4 linked regions of the Callithrix jacchus genome follow. The main gene of each other region encodes a partner of the protein of the gene in region 2 in a complex. Links are inferred from orthologs where the notes say so. Each region holds a gene or a part of one and is shown on either strand. Other genes may lie near its edges.

Region 1 (3,496 bases), on a different chromosome or scaffold from region 2:
TGGATCTGTGCATTCAGCCAACCCCCGATTAAAAAAAATTCAGAGACAAATAGATGGCTGTATCTGTATTGAACATGTGCAGATTTTTTCATACCTAATAAAGTTTTTCTTTTTCCATCTTTGTTGAGGGATAATTGGCAAAGGTGTACAATGTAATGTCTTGATATATATATGCACTGTGTTATGCCATATTGTTTATTCCTAAATAAAATGGTAAAGCAACTATTTACACGGCATTCACGTCATATTAGGTATAAGTAATCTAGATATGATTTGCATAGGTTATATGCAAATACTATGCCATTTTATATTAAGGACTTGAACATCTGTGGATTTTGGTATCCATGGCGTCCTTGAACCAATAACCCGTGGATACCAAGGGAAGGAAGACTGTGTAGTTTACAATGCAGTATAAGAGTGTAGATTTTGCTAAGAGTGTAGATTTTGAGTGTTTCTACCACACACATACAAAAGGTAACTATGTGAGGAGGTGGATATATTAATTAGCTTGATTCTGGTGACCACTTATATCTTGATATATCAAGACATCACATTGCACACTTTTGTCAATTATCCCTCAACCAAGCTGGAAAAACAAAAACTTTGTGATGGGCCTTGATCTCTTGTATTTTGTTCACCCAGGCTGGGAAGTGAATAGGAAAGGAGAAGGGAAGTATAGAAAAGGGGTAATGACGTTGTCTTTAGCTAAGCATGTGTGCTGGTGGTTGTTCCTCCATCAAAATAAAGACGATAGAGACCATTCAGAGCAGTACCGTTCCTGCTAGAAAGTCCACTGTTTTTCAGGATCTGTATTCTCATAAAGTGGCTTTTATTGTCAAGTATTTTAACAGTACGTCGGTGCAAGCCATTTGTCTCTGAATTTTATCTCTATGTTCTAGGAGCCTTGTTGATACTGTTTACGCCTTGAAGGACGAGGTCAAAGAACTGAAGCAGGTAATAAAACATAAAAGTCATTTTCTCGGATGACAAAACCATTGTCTTTTCCTTGACTCACACCCGTCATGCTGTCAGGGAGGGCCTAGGAGCAAGGTAGTGAGGGGGAGATTTTTATTTTTCTTGTGTTATCAAGGTAGGTTTTGTCGACTTTATAATGGAGCCTTGAGTTTAAATTTCTGATATTCGCTTATATTTCTATGTAGTAGTTCACAATAGACTCCCAAAGTTAGTTACAACTTTCCTGTTCTCTGACATCCGTAAACAGACCTTAAGAAAAGACTAGTCATTCATGACTGTGTAAGTGTAAAGAGAACCATTAATCATTGTTTGTGGGCTTTTCTGCTGATGTGGTCCATTGCTCCGTGACACACACTGTGCCTTGTGTGTGAGAACTGACTGTATCGGGTGACAGAGTGAAGGATGGATGGCAGGGGAGAGAGACCAGGGACTGGAAGACCACTTAGGAGGTTCTTACAAAACTCAGGGTGAGACATGTCAAAGTCCTGAACTGAGGCAGGGCAATGAGGCTGGGAAAGAGCAGAGTGAAAGTAAAGGATGGGACATTGTAGAGTTTGAACATATAGATGAGGATAGTGTGATTTTGAGATTAAGAAAGAGCCAGGGATTAAAGGTGAAGCTTCTTTCCTGGGTGTCCAGTTGCATATGGTAGTGCCCTTCATGGAGTTCAGGAACCACAGGAGAAGGAGAAGTTTAGGGTGTTGAGAGAGATACTGAGTTCACTTTAGGATCTGATGAGTTCGAGGTGCTTGTGACATATCTAGGTGGAAACACCAAGCTGCTGCCAGGTAATCTCAGGTACGTGAAAGGATCACTTAAGCCCGGGAGTTTGAGGCTACAGTGAGTCATGATTACGTCACTGCTCTCCAGCCTAGCGAAAGAGTGAGACCCCCATCGCTTAAAATAATAATAATAATAATACCAAGCTGGCATTTGAGATTGTAGACCTGGTTCTCAGGAGACAAGATCAGTACCAGAGATATTTGGTAGTCTGCTTAATAGACACTTGATTTGAAAGAGAAGCGACACTAAAGAGCCAGTTAAATTAGAAGAGGGTCAGGGCAGGGAAGAAGAATCCAAAAGGCTTCCCAGAGACAGGCAGGAGAATCGACGGGCTGCTTTGTCATAGATGCTGAGGGAGCGGAGGTTGAGGAAGGAAAGGTAGTCAGTGATGAAAACTGCCCAAAGGATGAGCAGGAGGAGCCCTGGGAAGGGCCCCCCTCTGTTCGGTAATCAACAAATCTTTCCCCATCATAGGAAAATAAAAGAATGAAACAATGCCTGGAAGAAGAATTGAAGTCAAGAAAGGACCTAGAAAAGCTGGTTCGGAGGCTTTTGAAGCAAACAGATGAATGTATTCGAGCCGAGTCCACTAGCAAGACCTCGATTCTTCCATAACCATCACTGTGCCACCGGGTGGAGTGTGCCTTCAGGGCATCTTGAAATGTGCCTCTGAATGATTTGACTCAGTTTGCTCACTTCTTTGGCTTTTGTTTTGTGTTTGAGTCTGTATCTCTCTCTCGCTCTCTCTCTCTCTTCCCTCTCTCTCCTGTGTGTGTGAGTGTGTGTGTGTGTGCACGCGCGCGCGTGCTTGGGCATTTGTTGTTGTTTGGTTGTTCGTTTTTTTTCAACGGGAAAAAGCAGGAGGTGGTGGTAGAAATGGCCCCAGAGTCTTTTCCGTTCAGTAAGAAAAGGAAAGCGAACTCAGGCCAATTACTTAAAGGGTCTTCAGATTGCCTTCAGTTCACAGTGCCTCCGCAACAGCCATTGCCCTCGGGTCACATTCTCTGGGCGGGCTGGCTGCCCTCGCAAAGCAGCTGGCCAAGGCTTATTAAATGTGAGCCCAACTTGTCCCCCTAGTGCTTTCCTCTGCCTGCAAGCCTGTTAGTACCTAATTTACTGAAGGCAAATCTTCCAGAGCTACGGCTAGAGTAAGATGAAAGACAAACACATCTACCCAGTGATCCAGCTGCCCTTCCTTAGACCATCACAGGCTACCTGTCAATCACAGGTTTTAAAACTACTGCCCTATGTTGTCTATAAAACCAAGAAAAATGTACTACTTTTATTCCTTTTGTGTTGTGTACATTGTAACTCAGGGGGCAGAAGCTCTGGTCACCCACACCAACACCAAATCCATCAGCAAGTTCTATTGGACAATCCTCCCTCTCAGTAGCAGAGTTAACTGCCTTTTCCCATTGCATGATAGGTTTCTTTCCCTCACCTTCTGCCTAGTGTGTAAGTTTTCTATTTCCCCAGTGCTTTTAGCCAACTGTACCAAGTGGTGTGTAAACTAGTATGTATGTGCTTCGCTTACTTTTTAAAAAACATAGTTAGACTGTGAGCAATTACCTTATGTACATTGCATATCCAAACTGTGACCTTTTATCCTTCAAAACTATCTGCATTAAGGAGATATTGTGCCCTAGTAGACCGCTTTCATTCACCTTATTACTCTCTCTTGTATGCTGTGAGAAATTGTAATATTCATTGGCCTCTTTGGGTGGGACTCTAAGCAGTA
Region 2 (5,207 bases):
GCCAGGCTGGTCTTGAACTGACTTCCAGTGATCTACCACCTCAGTCTCCCAAAGTGGTGGGATTACAGGTTGAGTCACTGTGCCTGGCTGACCAAATTCATTCTTTAATGTGGTATCCTCAGTAAATTCTCTGTCTTTTCTATCAAATTTGGGACTTCTGTTAGTTGGAACAGCATGAGTATTTAGGGCCTGGGAAGGGCGAATGATACTTAACAGGAGAGGCAGGTTCTTTCTTCATGGAGTTCTTTCCTTACATCCCCTGCAATTAGACTAATTTAGGCACATTGAATGGAGGTGTAGACATTTGTCAGAGAAAATGGATAGATACCATAAAGTTTCTCTCTAGCCCATTTAATTCATTCTTCAGGCTTAATCCTGAAGAGTTACCTGCTCTTTGTTGGCAATAGAAAGAGGGATACAGCAATTGATACAGAGATAACTAATGGTGGTCTCTTGTACATAGTATGGCAGAGAGAAATAAATAAATAAGTAAACATTGGCTTAGAAGTTAGACCAGGGACAGGAGGGCTGAGCATTTACCAGATATGTGGTCTTGGGGAAGTCACTGACTTCTTTCACTCATCGTATTCTGTTTTCCACCAAGTTCTGCTGTTGCTTTTTCTAAGTGTCTTTAGAAAATATGCTTGCTTCTTTTTATGTTATCTTACAATGTGTTAGTCTAAATCATTACCATTTTCTGTTATCTGAATCTCTGAGAGAACATTAACTTGTTTTCTTATTTCCACTCCTACCCCTTTCTCCACTAAACAGCCAGTGATCTTTTAAAATATGTAAGTTAGAGTTTGTCATTCTGCTTTCAAACCTACCAGAGCCTTCCCACAGCTAAAACTTGTGACAAAAGCCTAACTCCTAGTTATGACCCGAAAGAGACACCACATAATCTGACTTCTGTCAGGTCTCTTAAGAGCAGGGTTTGGGAGGGGGAGAAGTGGGGTAATACTGCCTCCTAGGGAGCATTTGCAAATGCGTGAAGGTGTGTTTTATTGTTTCAGTAATTGGGCGGCACTACTAGAGGCACTACTAGTCTGGACCATGTTGGTTTCTATACTGTGTTGTTCAGCTCAGGTTCCTTCACAACGCCTGATACACAAAAACACAATAGTTGGTTAAAAAATACTTATTGTATGAGCCCACATTTTCCCTGGACCTCTGTTTTGACATATATGAATTGGTATAGTGCCTACCTCATAAGGTTGTTTTGAGAGAGACATAGAATTTATAAAGTACCTGGTACACAATAGTTCTTAATAAATGATAGCAGTGGCCAGATGTGGTGGCTCACGCCTGTAGTCCATAGTTTGGGAGGGCGAGACAGGAGGATTGCTTGAGAACAGGAGTTTGAGACCAGCCTGGGCAACATGACAGACCCTATCTGTACAAAAAAAATACAAAAATAACCAGGTGTGGTGGTGGGCACCTATAGTCCCAGCTACTTGGGAGGCTGAGGCAGGAGGATCATCTGAGCCCAGGGAGTTCGAGGCTGCAGTAAGCCAAGATCCAGCCACTGCACTGGAGCCTGGGTACACAGCAAGACTGTCTCAAAATAATGATGATGATGATGATGATGATGATGATGAGGTAGTAGCTGCTAAGCTTTCATTGCTTAGAAGCAGCTACAAGGGCCCACCTAGCTCTTCCTGGAGCATTAGAATTAGAACCTGGCACGTTGGGGGAGGGAGGAAGTGTATCTCTTTCTCTGAGGCCTAATCTGAATCCTAGGTCTAACCTGAGGAATCCTAGAAGAGACTCCTCTATACTCAGCTGTAGAAACTAAAGCACAGAGGAGCACTGGTTGCATTCCTTGACTCTGGAGCTCACGCAGGACTCTGACAAGCACTGAAAAACCTGGCCTTGGAGAGAAATTACCTCTTGCTGGAGACTGGGTGTGGGAAGATAGCCCTCTCCCCGCCCTTAGCGCTGCTTTGCAGAAGAGGAGAAGCGCGCGCGGCTTCCTCCCGCCTCCTTCCCTCCTTTCTTCCCCCGCCCCTTCTGTTTCACCAACCCCGACGCAGCGCCTTCGCTGCCGCCCTGCGAGGGCGCGAGCGTGCTGCACCTCGGGAGCTGGCGGCTGAGCTGCCAGGAGCCCAGAGCAGCCCAGCCCAGCCGAATTGAGCGGAGCCCTTGGAGACGGGGCCTTGCGGGAACCCGGCTGGGCAGGGAGAGGTGCAGCTCTGCGACAGAAACAATCGCCAGAGATGCCGGGGCCAGCCTTCCCCACCAGGTAATGCTGGCCCTGCGTGGGGCTTGCCTAGATGGGCCGGGTTCTGGAGGAATCTCCGCAGGCCTTCAGAGAGTGGTGACACGGGGTTCAGTAGATTTTGAGGGGTATCTTACTTTCCTCTTACCTTAAGGGACCCTAAATGAGAGAAGGGGCTGAGGGTATGGAACCTTTAGATGAGCCCACCCAGAACTAGGCCTGCACTGGAATCGGAGCTCTGCTCAGGGAAGTGGGTAAAGGGGAAGCTGCGCCTTTGGGGAACTGCTCTGCCTCAGGAACTCTGCTTCTTTGCAAGCCCCCTTCTGCTTGGTGGCCAAGGTGATGTTTTCCTCTATCTTGGCTTGGCAGCTGGCCTGTTGGGACTGTGGGGCTTTTCTCTGTTAAGAGGTTGAGTGAACTGGGAGACAGGAGACCTGGGAGGACTGGTCCTATTCAGACATCTTCAGTTGCCTTATCTGTGCAGTGAAGGACTTGACATTGTTTGTTACTCTGGCTTTCCAAGCCTTCAGACCATCTTTTGGAAAGGTGAGCTGGTTTAAAATGCTAAAATGGGCTGCAGAGATGTTCCCCTCAACACTGCAGAAGAGAGGAGAACTTGGGAAATAGACCATACTGTTTTCCAGCCAGCCTTTTGAATGGCCTCTTGCTGGTTCTTCAGAGGCAAGGCAGAGGCTTGAGAATGCTAATGCTTATTTTAGTGTGGTGTGTAGGTGTGTTAGGTGTAGGGAGGCAGGGTTGGGAAGTAGAAGGTCAAGGTATGTTAATGGTTCTAAACTGGCCAATTTTTCTGTCTTTAGGTATAAAGTTGCTTTAAACTAGACTCTCTTCTCTGGAGCTCCTTCCTTATTCTGCTAAGTTAATGACAGACCTGGCTGTGGTAATATCTTAATCACTATAATTCCTTCCTTCTTTATTATCTGGCACCAAGAAGTTCATGTCAGGCCTGATAATAACCTACTTTAATTATTTTGGAACTCTTTCCTTCCCCCAGTTTTTTGATGACTCTACGTCTTCTTCCTCTCCTCACTCTTCTATTTTCTCCTCCTGATTTTTCCTGTCTTAGCCCTGCCTCCTGCCTACCTTTTCTCCCACCCTCTCTTCACCCTTCCTCCTCCCCTCGTGCTTCCCCTTTCCTATTTCTCCCCCTCTGTAGCCAGTCTTTCCTTCCTTCTCTCGGATCCTCCTCCTCTCGATTAGGCTTTCTTCTCTTTTCTTAAAATTTTTGGTTAAGCTTTCTCATTGTTAGTAGGTTACTGGTTTTTAGGGACCTTCTGCTGTGTTTGTGAGGTCCAAACATTGTTTTCTACCTAACTCACTTGCTTCTAGCTTTTACCTCCAAATTCTATCTTCCCCAAATACCATTCTCTCTCCTTACTGCCTCTATGCTTTGCCTTGGGCCTGCCAACAAGCAATTCTTCTTCCTGCATTTGTTTCCTGTCTTCTTTTCTGGTGGTGGTGGGGCAGCAGGTAGGCAGTAGGTAATAAGCAAGATGGGAAGTGGGGGGCTTGAGTGGGAGGAGAGCAAAAATGTCAAGTAGTGTTGGGCAGAGGTTCAAGTTCCCTTTAGTGAGATGAATGACTGGGAGGACCAGAGACTCTGGCAGCTGTGAGGTAGTGCTGATCTGGAGAAAAGGAGGTAGCCCAGGGAAGAAGAGGGAGGATAGCAGGATAGAGGGACAGGAGGAGGAGGAGGAGGCCTGGGGGAGAAGACAGTGCTCTTTGAAAAAGACGGTAGCCTGGACAAGATAGGGGTTATTTGGGGTCAGGGTATATGTAGAAAGAGAAAGATTATAGTGTGGGGAAGAGGACTATGTAGGTTAATTATCTTCCCCTTTGCTGACCGGCTTTTTGGACTGATTTCTACTCAGCAAATTTTTTTTAGTTAAAAAATGTGAAAGCATTTACCATGTTTATCATGTTTAAGTGTACAGTTCCATTTTAATAAGGACATTTATATCCTTTTCTCCTTCTTCATCCTCACCACTCCCTTTCCTGGCCTTTGGTAACCACCAGTCTACTCTATCATCATGAGATACACTTTTTTACCTTCCATATATGAGTGAGAACATGTGATATTTGTCTTCCTGTACCTGACAAAATGGCCTCCAATGTCATCTATGTTGCTGAAAATGACAGGATTTCATTCTTTTTTTATGACTGAATAATATTCCATTGTGTTACATGTGTAACACACACACACACACACACATTTTCATTTTAGCTTTTATGAATAGTGCCACAGTATTCATGGGAGTGCGTTATCTCCTTCATATATTGATTTCCTTTCTTTTAGATATATACCCAATAGTGGAATTGCTGAATCATATGGTAGTTCTATTTTTAGTTTTTTAGGAACTTCCATACTATTCTCCTTAGTGGCTCTACTAATTCACATTTTCACTGACAGCATATGAGGGTTCTTCTTTCTCTCCATCCTTGCCATCATCTATTATTGCCTATCTTTTTCTTTCTTTTTTTTCAGACAGGGTCTTGCTCTGTTGCCCAGGCTGGAGTGCTATGGCACAATCATAGCCTCCTGCAACTTCAACCTCCCAGGTTCCAGCAGTTCTCCTACCTTAACCTCTCAAGTAGTTGGGACTGCAGGCACATGCCAACATGCCTAGTTAATTAAAAAAATAAATAAATTTTTTTCTTAGAGGTGTGGTCTCCCTATGGTGCCCAAGCTGGTCATGAATTCCTGGGCTCAAGTGATCTGCCTGTCTTGGCCTCCGAAAGTGTTGGGATTACAGGCGTGAGCCAACATACCCAGCCTCTGCCTGTTTTTTTGATATAAGCCATTTTTACTGGAGTGAGATGATACCACATTGTGGTGTTGATTTGCATTTCTCTGATGGTTGAGCATTTTTTTCATGTACCTGTTGGCTGTTTATATGTCTTTTTTTGAAAAATGTCCATTCATATCTTTGACTGTTTTAAAATTGGGTTACTTGTTTTTTTGCTATTAAGT
Region 3 (4,643 bases), on a different chromosome or scaffold from region 2:
CTTTGCACAGGCCTGCTGTTCTGAGGAATATGCTTGGGCAAACTGCTTCCCAGGGCTTATCTCACTTTTGGGGCAGTAGTTTAAATGTCAACATGTGAAAAGGACTGTGGCATTTCTGTGTCTGTTTTTGGATTCTTAGGAACTTTTGTCTTTGGCTTTTATCTTACTGAGGCAAATGGTTTTTAATACAAAAGTAATACTTGTAAGTGTTTGTGTAACCAGGTGAAGTTTGTGGGGTGAGAACAACACTGAGTTAACATTGGGAGGTCTGGGGAAGTTGTGGGGATTACTAGGAGACCGAAATTGATTTTCACATTTTACCATACCCTTTCTTTAGCTTAAAGGCTCCACCTATTCCCCCGACCCCACTAAAATTTATAGGTTCTCTCCTTTTTCTCTGAACCACAAAAAGAAAATTTTAGCTTACCTGAAAAAGGTTAATCACAGAGCTGAACTCCTTAACCAAATATTTTTTCAAGATGTTACACAGGCTAATTGTGAGTCCAGGATCTTTTAATCATTCTGTTTACTTTCTTACCTTTTGGTTTTTGAAGAATTTAGAAATCTTTCTCTTATATGATAAAGCTCTCTTAATCATATTTTAAGACTTAGTACAGAATTTATCATAATTTTGTTACCATTTAATTTACGTGATAAAATTTGATAGAAATACCTAGACAAGAAAATCATGTAATATTTCATAGGGCCTAGGATAAATAAGTATTTGTGTTCACATTTGTCAGTAGATGTTTTTTAAGAAATTTTTTGGATTTTTTTTTTTTGTATTAGGAAAAGAATGAAAGATATCTTCTACTCTTCCCACATGTTTTGCTAATGTTGTCTGCCAGTCCTAGGATGAGTGGCTTTATCTATCAGGTAAAACACAATTTAAAGTTATATTTCGTTGTGTATTGTGGATCTGAGGGTAATTTCAAGCTGGCTTTGAATTTTGTGTTAAATATTAACATTTATCTATCTGTGTATGTGCTGTGTGTGTAGTGCTGTATATTCAGAGATGGATGTACAGCTTCTGTGCGTTTTGTAACTATGCAAGCACATCCTATGCTAGTTTAAAAAAGGAAAGAAGTGTAAATTTGTAGAGCAGCCTCATAAGGGCACAGACTGCCGTGGTACAAGTCAGGCTCTGTCGTTGCCTAATGTCAATTCAGGCAGAGTACCTTGCTCCTCCCAGCTGTAGTTTTGTTCTGTGAAATGGGTTCAGCTAGGGCTTATGGGGTAGAGGGGTGGGGTAGTGTAGGATGAGATCTTCTGTCAGTGGCACAGTGCTGCCCAAATGCATGAGCAAATAGAAGTGATGTAAGTAGCATGTGTGATCATTTAACTGTTTTCATTTTTGTTTTCCTGCTTTGCTTTGAGAAAACGTGAGAGCGGATTTGAGAAGGAGGTGCGAGGGTGAGCAAGGCCTTTTCTGTTGTGACGGTGGTTTATAGTGGGTGATATATGAAGGAGCTGGTATTTTTTTCTGTATATCTAGTAGATGTGCTTGGCAGGTTTCATTCTTTTTTTTCTGTGACGTTACAGAGGTTCCTATCCTTCCCATCACCTTTCTGAGGACTGGCCAGTCACCCCATAACCACTGCAGCAGAAGTCACTGCTTCGTGTTCTCTGGGTTGTGTTTCATTATGGCATGTGTTGTTTTGTGTTGTCCCAGCAGGGACGTTAGAGAACCTGAGTAGACACTGTGCCTTCACAGAGGCTTTGTCGACCTCCCAGAGAGGACTTGTTGTCATATGCTTACTCCAAAACGCGTGCTTTAGAATTGGTGAGTTATAGATATAGGAACAGACTCAGGAAAATAAGGCTGTAGTTTGTAAGGTCACTGCTGAAGAGAGGTGATCTGTGGCTGAGATAGTGCCCACTAGAGTTTTCCCCCAAACTGGCAACTACTTCTTTGTTCAGTGACCTTGATAACCCTAAATCTCTGTCCTTTCTGGTCAGCACTGTCTGGCTCCCTGTTTTATATCCCCAGAATCTCATTTTAGTGGCTGGAGACAGTGGCCTTCTCTAACCTAAGGGAGAAGAGGTACCACTCATGGCAAGCTTGAGTCCCTGCCTGTGAAGCTGGGGCTCACACTGGCTTTTCCCTTGTTGTGTTGACAGGCTGTTGGAGACCTCATCTCAAAACTGGATTTTATTTTCCATTCTCAACACAGTGGTGACCTGTGGTCTCTGTATCATCAGTATCCATTTCTACTATTAGAACGCTGACTTTGGGGGATGCTAGAAAAGCGTTTGATTTAGCTGTAGTCATAGTGGTCTATACACTGATGCTCAGATGGGCCACAGTCGTGCGGTTTTATTTTCCGTAGGACTCACAGCTGTTAAAGTACTTACGTGCATTATGAATCTTGGAAAGGAGTTCACAGTGTGTAGCATTTTTGAAATACGCTTGGCCACAGAAATGTCCAGCAGTCTCCTCTTCTACCTGCTATGCTTTAGGATGGGATTCTCCGCCTGGGCACTGCTGACATTTTGGACTGGGTCATTTGTGGCCTAGGGCTGGGGGCTCAGGGAGACTGTCCTGGGCACTGTAGGGTATCAGCAGCCTCTCTGGCCTCTTACTTGCTGGACATCTGAGCCCCTGCCAGGTTGCGGCACTGCCACCTGTTCTCTCTGGGGGGCATGGCCCCCATACTGGTTGAGCAGCACTCCCTCTGGAGGTGCTCACGCAGAATCCTGCTCCGAAGCTGACTGAGTGCTCCCAGGCAGCACGGACTCTCCCTGAGGATTTGGTGGGCCACCGTGCACTGTTGGCTTCTATGAGCTGCGCCACGGGTTTTGTGTTCACTTCTGCCTTGTTGGTAATGACTGTTTGTTCCCCTTCCAATGTCTCTGCATTGACATCTCCTGTTGCAGTTACGATTTCTGCCGTGTTCAGGGAGGATTGGGTTGCCACCCATTTTCTGCACTGTGTGCAGCATTTAGCACAACTGCTTATTTTCTGTTTGGTGGATTACAAAGGAGAATGTTATGCAATTAGTGTTCTTGCCTCAATTTCCCACCCTTATTTTGACTTTAAACTTGGAGCTTCCTCTGCATTTCTTTATGAGGCAAATACATGCTTCTTTCCTGCAAAAATGTCATTTAAAACAACTGTTAGGCATGGTAATTTTTAAAAATCATAATGTGTAATGTTTTGTGTCCTGGTGCCTGTGTTTAGCAGCAGCTCATCAGATGCCGCCAGTTGAGTTTCTCAATTACAGTACAGTATTAGGATTTATTATTTGAGATAAAGATTTTTGTATTATGCATATATCTGCTATAAATGAGCTTTTTTTGGTTCACAAACACAGTTCCTCTGCCAGTTCTAAAATCATTTAGTATTTACCTTAATAATGGTACCTTTTTCTAGAAAAGCACTAATTGTTTTTTTTTTTGTGTGGGGGGGTCTTTTTTAGGGAAAGCTTCCAACGACAGGAATGACAATCACAAAGCTTGAGGACAGTGAAAATCATAGAAACGCATTTGAAATATCAGGTGATAGGCACAAGCTGTGTGAGTGCTGTGTCGCGGGGAGGAGAGGCAGCTTGTCCCGCGTGCACATTCTTGCTTGCGTATTTCAGGAGGTGGTGTTGAAGGGCTGAGTGGAATTCGGGGGTGTGTGTGTGCATGCACGCGCTTTTTACCTGTGTTTCCACTCGGCCTGTTTTTTTCCTTCTGTCTTCTAGGGAGCATGATTGAGCGGATATTAGTGTCCTGCAACAACCAGCAGGATCTGCAGGAATGGGTGGACCACCTACAGAAGCAAACAAAAGTCACGTCCGTGGGAAACCCCACCATCAAGCCACATTCGGTGCCATCTCACACCGTAAGGACTTAGCGCTTTTTCTCCTTCTAGACTCCAAACGGTGGCACCGTGGCTGAGCTGTCAGCAAGTGATCAAGTGCTTTAAAACCTAATCAGTATTTGGATTAAAAAAAGGCAAAACACTTGCTTCATATTTCTCTGCAAATATTTGGTCCTCTTCGGGCTTGTAGTGAATTGTTTCCCAGTGAGTGTTCTTGAGAAACCGCCCAGAGTTTTGCTTCCTCACACACAGTTCAGAGGCGCTTGGGTGGGAAGCTGCTTCTGCTCAGCGTGGCCCTGGAAGACTCATTTAGGGGAGTTTTACACGAAACTATAGATGATTTTGCTGAGAATTTTAACTGTTTATCATGCTTCATTTATGAGAGAGAAAAATAAATGATTGATGATGATAAGGGCCAAATTCATGTTGAAGGCATTAAAATAGAATTTATGACACACTGTTTTGGTTTTAAGAAATTGAGGTATCTTATACTTAGAAAGGCTCAACAACTCTTTGTATTTTTAGAGAATTACCACTTTTCAGAATAGATAAGCACTGAAGTTGCAGTGTCTAAACCTCTCCTGGTGTTTTGTGCTTGAGAAGCTGGTACTGGGTTAACAGCTGTCATCTTTATCGAGTAATACCGAAAAACTGGGCAGAACTTTCAAAGAATGAATTATGATGACACTTTCAGCTTGCAGATGTCCTTGCGTCCTTATTAGGTTGTTAGGTTCAGTTCTGTCATGTGGCTCACTTTCCACGTTTTATTCTTCATGTTAAGGTTGTATAGCTCAAGAAGGGTTGCTGTATTCTGATATTCTCATTAGAGTTTCAT
Region 4 (4,643 bases), on a different chromosome or scaffold from region 2:
AGAAGAAGCCTGTTCCAACACAGTGGCGTGCTGTGGTGGGTAGGCCACAGTGCCCCTTTGTGAGCTGGGCCTCCCAAGGAGAGCGCCCCGGAGGAGCAGAGGCACATGCTGAGCATACCCATGGGCTTAGGCCACAGCAGGAAGCCCTAGGTGGGAGTCCTTGGGGAAGCTGGGAAGGCCCTGCCCTGTCTTGAGCTTGTCTCATAGCCTTCCTCTGGCTCTGCCCATTCCCTCTGCTTTCAGAGGCCAGCTTCGTGCTGGACATGGAGAGGCAAAGGGAGTCTGTTGAATGGGGCTTCTGGGCTGGCCTCTGTGGAATATCTAAGGGTTGGGGTTCAGCTCTGACTCCATATGGCATCTAGCATGGGACTCCATGTCAGGGAGGGTTTTCATGCTCAGAGGGCTATTGCCATGGAGATGTGGAGCTTGGGGTGGGAAGGTGGCCTCTGTCAGCCTGAGTCCTTCTGAACAGGGCTTTTCCTGTTCAACTCTGGGTTTCTGAGCACCCACGGAGTGGGCCTCAGCCCCCTGACCCGAGGCAGTCACAGAAATGAATGTACAGGGTATTCACCCTCCAGGGAAGTGTCTGGTGGCTCTGCCAAGCCACAAGCCCCCCAAGTCAGGGGCCAAGCCTCAGCATGGCCCAAGGTAGGGGTCTTTGGAGAGGCAGGAAGAGAACAATGGACTGAGCACTTGGACCACTGGAGCCATGAGCCAAAGGACATAGGGGGTTGACAGTAGGAGGTCCGTGGGGGCTAAGCCTGGATCAGGTTTGTCACCAACCCCAGGGTTTGAGCCAACACAAGCAAGGCACAGCTTCTGCACCAGAGGTGGTCTTAACAGGCCCAGCCTGTCTTTACACTTTTCCTCTGCCCCACCGTCAGGGCTGGGGCTTTAGGAAGACACTGCCTGCTCTGTGCTGCTGACTTTGGAAAGAGACTTTACCTAACCTTGGAGCAGGTATCATCTGAGGTGCTTTCCATGTGATGCACTGAAGAAACTGAGGCTCAGAGGAGGATGATTTCCCCAGGACCACAGCAGGGGAGCAGTGGGCCCAGGCCTGGTCTGCATTTGGGTGCCAGATGGCATCAGCCCTGTGCTCTTTGTGCCTGTGTTGGACCCGCTGACCCGGGCCCCGGGCCCCAGCATGTTCACCCTGACAGAGTGTGTGTCTTGGGTACTGTGTAGACTGCCGCATCCCTTCTGCTTCGAGACTCACCTCTCCTCACTGTCCTCATCTGTAAGATGAGAGCAGCAGGGTCCCTGTGGTTCTCACTTGTGTGGGGCTGGTGGTTTGGGACAGCGTATGAGGAAGGGCTCTTAGCAGTGGTGTGCTGGATAAATGTTGGGACGGAGTGACTGCTCAGGCTTGAGGGGAAATGGGCACAGCTCCAGAACTGCAGGCAGCTGCCTGGGTCAGATGGGCTTTCCTTGGGTCTCCGGGGCTGCCCAGGAGCCAAGCTGGCCCCTGCCCCGCAGGCTCACTTGCTAATGTTAACCCCGGAGTAGTCACCTAATCCTCACCTTCTTGTTCTCTGAGACCCAGACTCCTGCAGTGTGGAGAAGGTTCCCACCAGTCTCTGTGATGACCCTTCCCCCAGATCTGTCTTAAGACAGAAAGGAGAGAGTGGAGAGAAGTGACTGCCTCCCGGGAGGGGCAGGGGCAGGGCAGATGGGTGGGACGTGGCTACCAGCTTGGCCCAGCCTGCAGGGGTGGGGCCCAGGTTGACACACCTACTGCAACCCCAGGTCCCATCTGATGCCAAGGCTGAAGGAGTCTCGCTCCCACGAGTCCCTGCTCAGCCCCAGCAGTGCAGTGGAGGCGCTGGACCTCAGCATGGAGGAAGAGGTGGTCATCAAGCCTGTGCACAGCAGCATCCTTGGCCAAGACTACTGCTTTGAGGTGGGTCCCATCTCAGGGGTTGGGGTGGATACCCCATCCTTTCCTGGCCTGGCTGGTCTCCTACAGACAACCTCCTGGAGTCCAGTCTGCTGTGGCCTCAGCAGGGGCTGGGGTCATGAGGGTAGTGGCCAGGCTCTTGGGGACAGTGGCTATTATTTACTGATACCTTTCAGCTCCTAAGAGACCAAGTGGAGCTGGGGTGGGGGCTGTCCTTTCTGTTCTCTAGACTCTCAGAAAAGGGGCCAACACCTATTCTCCATGCTAACATGAAGCTGCTGTTGCCCCCAGTGGGTGACGGTGAGTAGGGGAAAAGCCTGAATTTCTGAAGCACCAGAGCCCGTGTCTTAGAGCTCACTCACCCCCAAATGCAGTTTTCTTACAAAAACAGAATGGTACCCCAAATGCGGTGTGGATAGCACAGAGTCTCCCCTTTTCTGGGCCTGTTTCCTGCTGTGAACAATAAAAGCCCAAATCTTTGCTGCCCTGGCATTCTGCGACCTGAGGTTGTACTGCAGAGTCAGTTATCCACCCTGGGCAAGGGTGTTACCTGGGGATGACCTGTCTAGTCCCTCATAGTAAATGGGGATCTGAGACTCAGAGAAGGCACGAAGACATCAGAGGTCACACAGCAAGGCTGAGACCAAGCCAGGAGTAGGGTTACTATTGCTGTAGGTATTCCTGGGAGTTCCTCCTAATTGCTTCTCCAGTTATTCATATTGCTTCCTACTGGTTTCTGGGAAGATTCCTACCCCCAATAATCATGCGTTATGCAGAGAACTCTCTGGTAGAGGAATGAGCCTGATAATGGAAAGCAGCCACTTGGGGACTAATGTGACAATCTCCTGGCACACCTAGCCCTGGGGAAAAGACAGAATGGTACCTGGCACCTACCCCATACCCTGTGCCCACTGGGTGCCATTTCTGGTTCAGGACCCCTGACCAAGCTGGGCTTGATCTGAGCTCTGACTTCCTTGCCAGAGATAGGGTGAAGATGGCCCTGTCTGCTGGTTCACAGCAGGAGGTGCTATGGAGTGTACAGGCCCTCGAGTGCCTGGTGGAGTGTGCTTCCCCTGCAGAACCCTGGGTCTGCTGTTGGGGGCAGTGGGAACACACAGAAGGAATCGCTCCAACTGGCTCCCTTACCTGGAGGGGATGTCTAAGTTGGACCTGAGGATGAGTGAGTGATAGACAGGGAGGGGAGGAGAAGGGTCAGGGACCAGGGACCCTGGGGCCTGGTACATCCAAACAGTCCGAGTCTCATTTTCTGGTCTGGTGTAAAAAATACCAGGCTTATATTACCATCGTTGTCACTGTTGCTTGGCAGAAGAGAACCCTCAGAGATGTCAGCTGAGGATTGAGGGACTGTGGTACCTTTCATTATCTCCTTGGTTCTTGTGGTTTCGCCTTTAGGGCAAGTACACTTGGGTTAAGCATTGCCCTCTGACCTGGGTAAGGTCTTCGTTCCTTCCCTCTTCCCATCTCAGGGAGAGGGAGGATAGAGTTAGAAAGATGTTTTCCTACTGAACAGAGGGCACTGAAGGATGAGTGAGGAGCCCACTGGTGCAGGACTGGGCCACTCTTTGGCTGCTGACTTGCCCTGGGACAGTGGGTCTCAGTGTACTACCTGTAAAATGTGAAATAGAGGCATCATGTGAGCCTTGTCCTGGCTCCTTCTTGAGGCTGTGATGCAGGCCTGGTGACCAGAGTCCTCTGAGCTTCAAAGGTCTTCTTCTATCCTTGTCTGCCCTTACTGTGGTCCCTTCCCTTGTAACATTGCCTTGCCTGCTCCCCACAGGTGACGACATCATCAGGAAGCAAGTGCTTTTCCTGCCGGTCTGCAGCTGAGCGGGATAAGTGGATGGAGAACCTGCGGCGGGCGGTGCACCCCAACAAGGTAAGCCTGCGCCCCTCTCACCAAATCATAGGGGATCAATGGTAGGCTCAGACACAGGGAAGCAAGAGAGATGATCTCTGTGGTGTGGCCTGGGATTGGCAGTGGTCAGCCTGCGTGGAGGCAGGACTCAAGTGGACAATACTGGTGGACTCTGAAAGGCATGTTTGATTGGCCAGGTTGAGACACGTGCTGCGTGCCTCTGTTCTCTAAGCTACACGTTGAGGCTGGGCTGGGGCACCTGGGGTCCTTCCACTGGGACCCCTTGTCCCTACTCTCCAGCCCCTGACCAACTTCTGCTCATTGTCCAATTCCAGCTTAGATGTCTGCCCCTCCTCCAGGTGAGGAGCCCTGTCCCAGGTTGGTGCCCTCTGTGTTCCCACTGCCCCTGGGCTCCTCCATCAGGTCCTAGGAGCCCCACAGACACAGACAGACACTGCTTCTTTGTCTGTCTTCCTAGCAGACTTGAGGGCCTGATCAAGTCCTGGTCACCATAGTCATCTCTTAAGTTACTTTACAGACCAGCAAATTAAGGAAGAGTTAATAATGACTTCATAGCCTGTGACGTGCCAGGCATTGTGCTGGCCTCCTTTAGTCTCGCCCTTCATGAGATGGGGGTTATCTTAGTTCTGTTTTATAGACAAGCAAGCCAAGGCTCCAGTTAAGTCACTTACCCAAGGTGAGTGAGCTTGTGCGAGGTTGACCAGAGATCCAGCCTTTGTCCATCAGGCCCCGCCTCATTCTGACTCAGGGCCTAGGTGCCCACTGCCGCCTCCACCTTCAGAGCTCCTCCTGGGTCTGAGGACTCTCTCAGACTCTGGGCTGGTTGGGGGTTGCGTGTGACACCCC

The links. The genes of interacting proteins can lie anywhere in the genome.
Region 1: PAK1 (region 2) and ARHGEF6 share a complex: the UniProt entries of both Homo sapiens proteins name them as parts of the cytoplasmic complex. The link is inferred for Callithrix jacchus from reciprocal best matches to the Homo sapiens genes PAK1 and ARHGEF6.
Region 3: the proteins of PAK1 (region 2) and ARHGEF7 are in contact, whole or in part, in an NMR structure (PDB 1ZSG), measured with the Homo sapiens proteins. The link is inferred for Callithrix jacchus from reciprocal best matches to the Homo sapiens genes PAK1 and ARHGEF7. Residues at the interface, in NP_001363202.1 of Homo sapiens: Thr185, Pro186, Pro188, Val189, Ile190, Ala191, Pro192, Arg193, Lys198, Arg203, Ser204; in NP_001106983.1 of Homo sapiens: Lys192, Phe193, Phe195, Thr198, Asp201, Glu202, Glu217, Gly220, Trp221, Trp232, Pro234, Ser235, Asn236, Tyr237.
Region 4: PAK1 (region 2) and DAB2IP share a complex: the UniProt entries of both Homo sapiens proteins name them as parts of the cytoplasmic complex. The link is inferred for Callithrix jacchus from reciprocal best matches to the Homo sapiens genes PAK1 and DAB2IP.

The regions. Positions count from the first base shown.
Region 1 is NC_133524.1:133,467,733-133,471,228, reverse strand, and holds part of ARHGEF6 (rho guanine nucleotide exchange factor 6), read left to right. Parts: intron 1-899; coding exon 900-954; intron 955-2,232; coding exon 2,233-2,373; 3' UTR 2,374-3,496. UniProt on the Homo sapiens protein: Acts as a RAC1 guanine nucleotide exchange factor (GEF).
Region 2 is NC_133511.1:63,524,434-63,529,640, forward strand, and holds the start of PAK1 (serine/threonine-protein kinase PAK 1), read left to right. Parts: upstream 1-2,034; 5' UTR 2,035-2,242; intron 2,243-5,207. UniProt on the Homo sapiens protein: Protein kinase involved in intracellular signaling pathways downstream of integrins and receptor-type kinases that plays an important role in cytoskeleton dynamics, in cell adhesion, migration, proliferation, apoptosis, mitosis, and in vesicle-mediated transport processes.
Region 3 is NC_133502.1:26,827,042-26,831,684, forward strand, and holds part of ARHGEF7 (rho guanine nucleotide exchange factor 7), read left to right. Parts: intron 1-789; coding exon 790-876; intron 877-3,419; coding exon 3,420-3,498; intron 3,499-3,689; coding exon 3,690-3,829; intron 3,830-4,643. UniProt on the Homo sapiens protein: Acts as a RAC1 guanine nucleotide exchange factor (GEF) and can induce membrane ruffling. Functions in cell migration, attachment and cell spreading. Promotes targeting of RAC1 to focal adhesions. May function as a positive regulator of apoptosis.
Region 4 is NC_133502.1:170,245,659-170,250,301, forward strand, and holds part of DAB2IP (disabled homolog 2-interacting protein), read left to right. Parts: intron 1-1,749; coding exon 1,750-1,903; intron 1,904-3,698; coding exon 3,699-3,797; intron 3,798-4,643. UniProt on the Homo sapiens protein: Functions as a scaffold protein implicated in the regulation of a large spectrum of both general and specialized signaling pathways.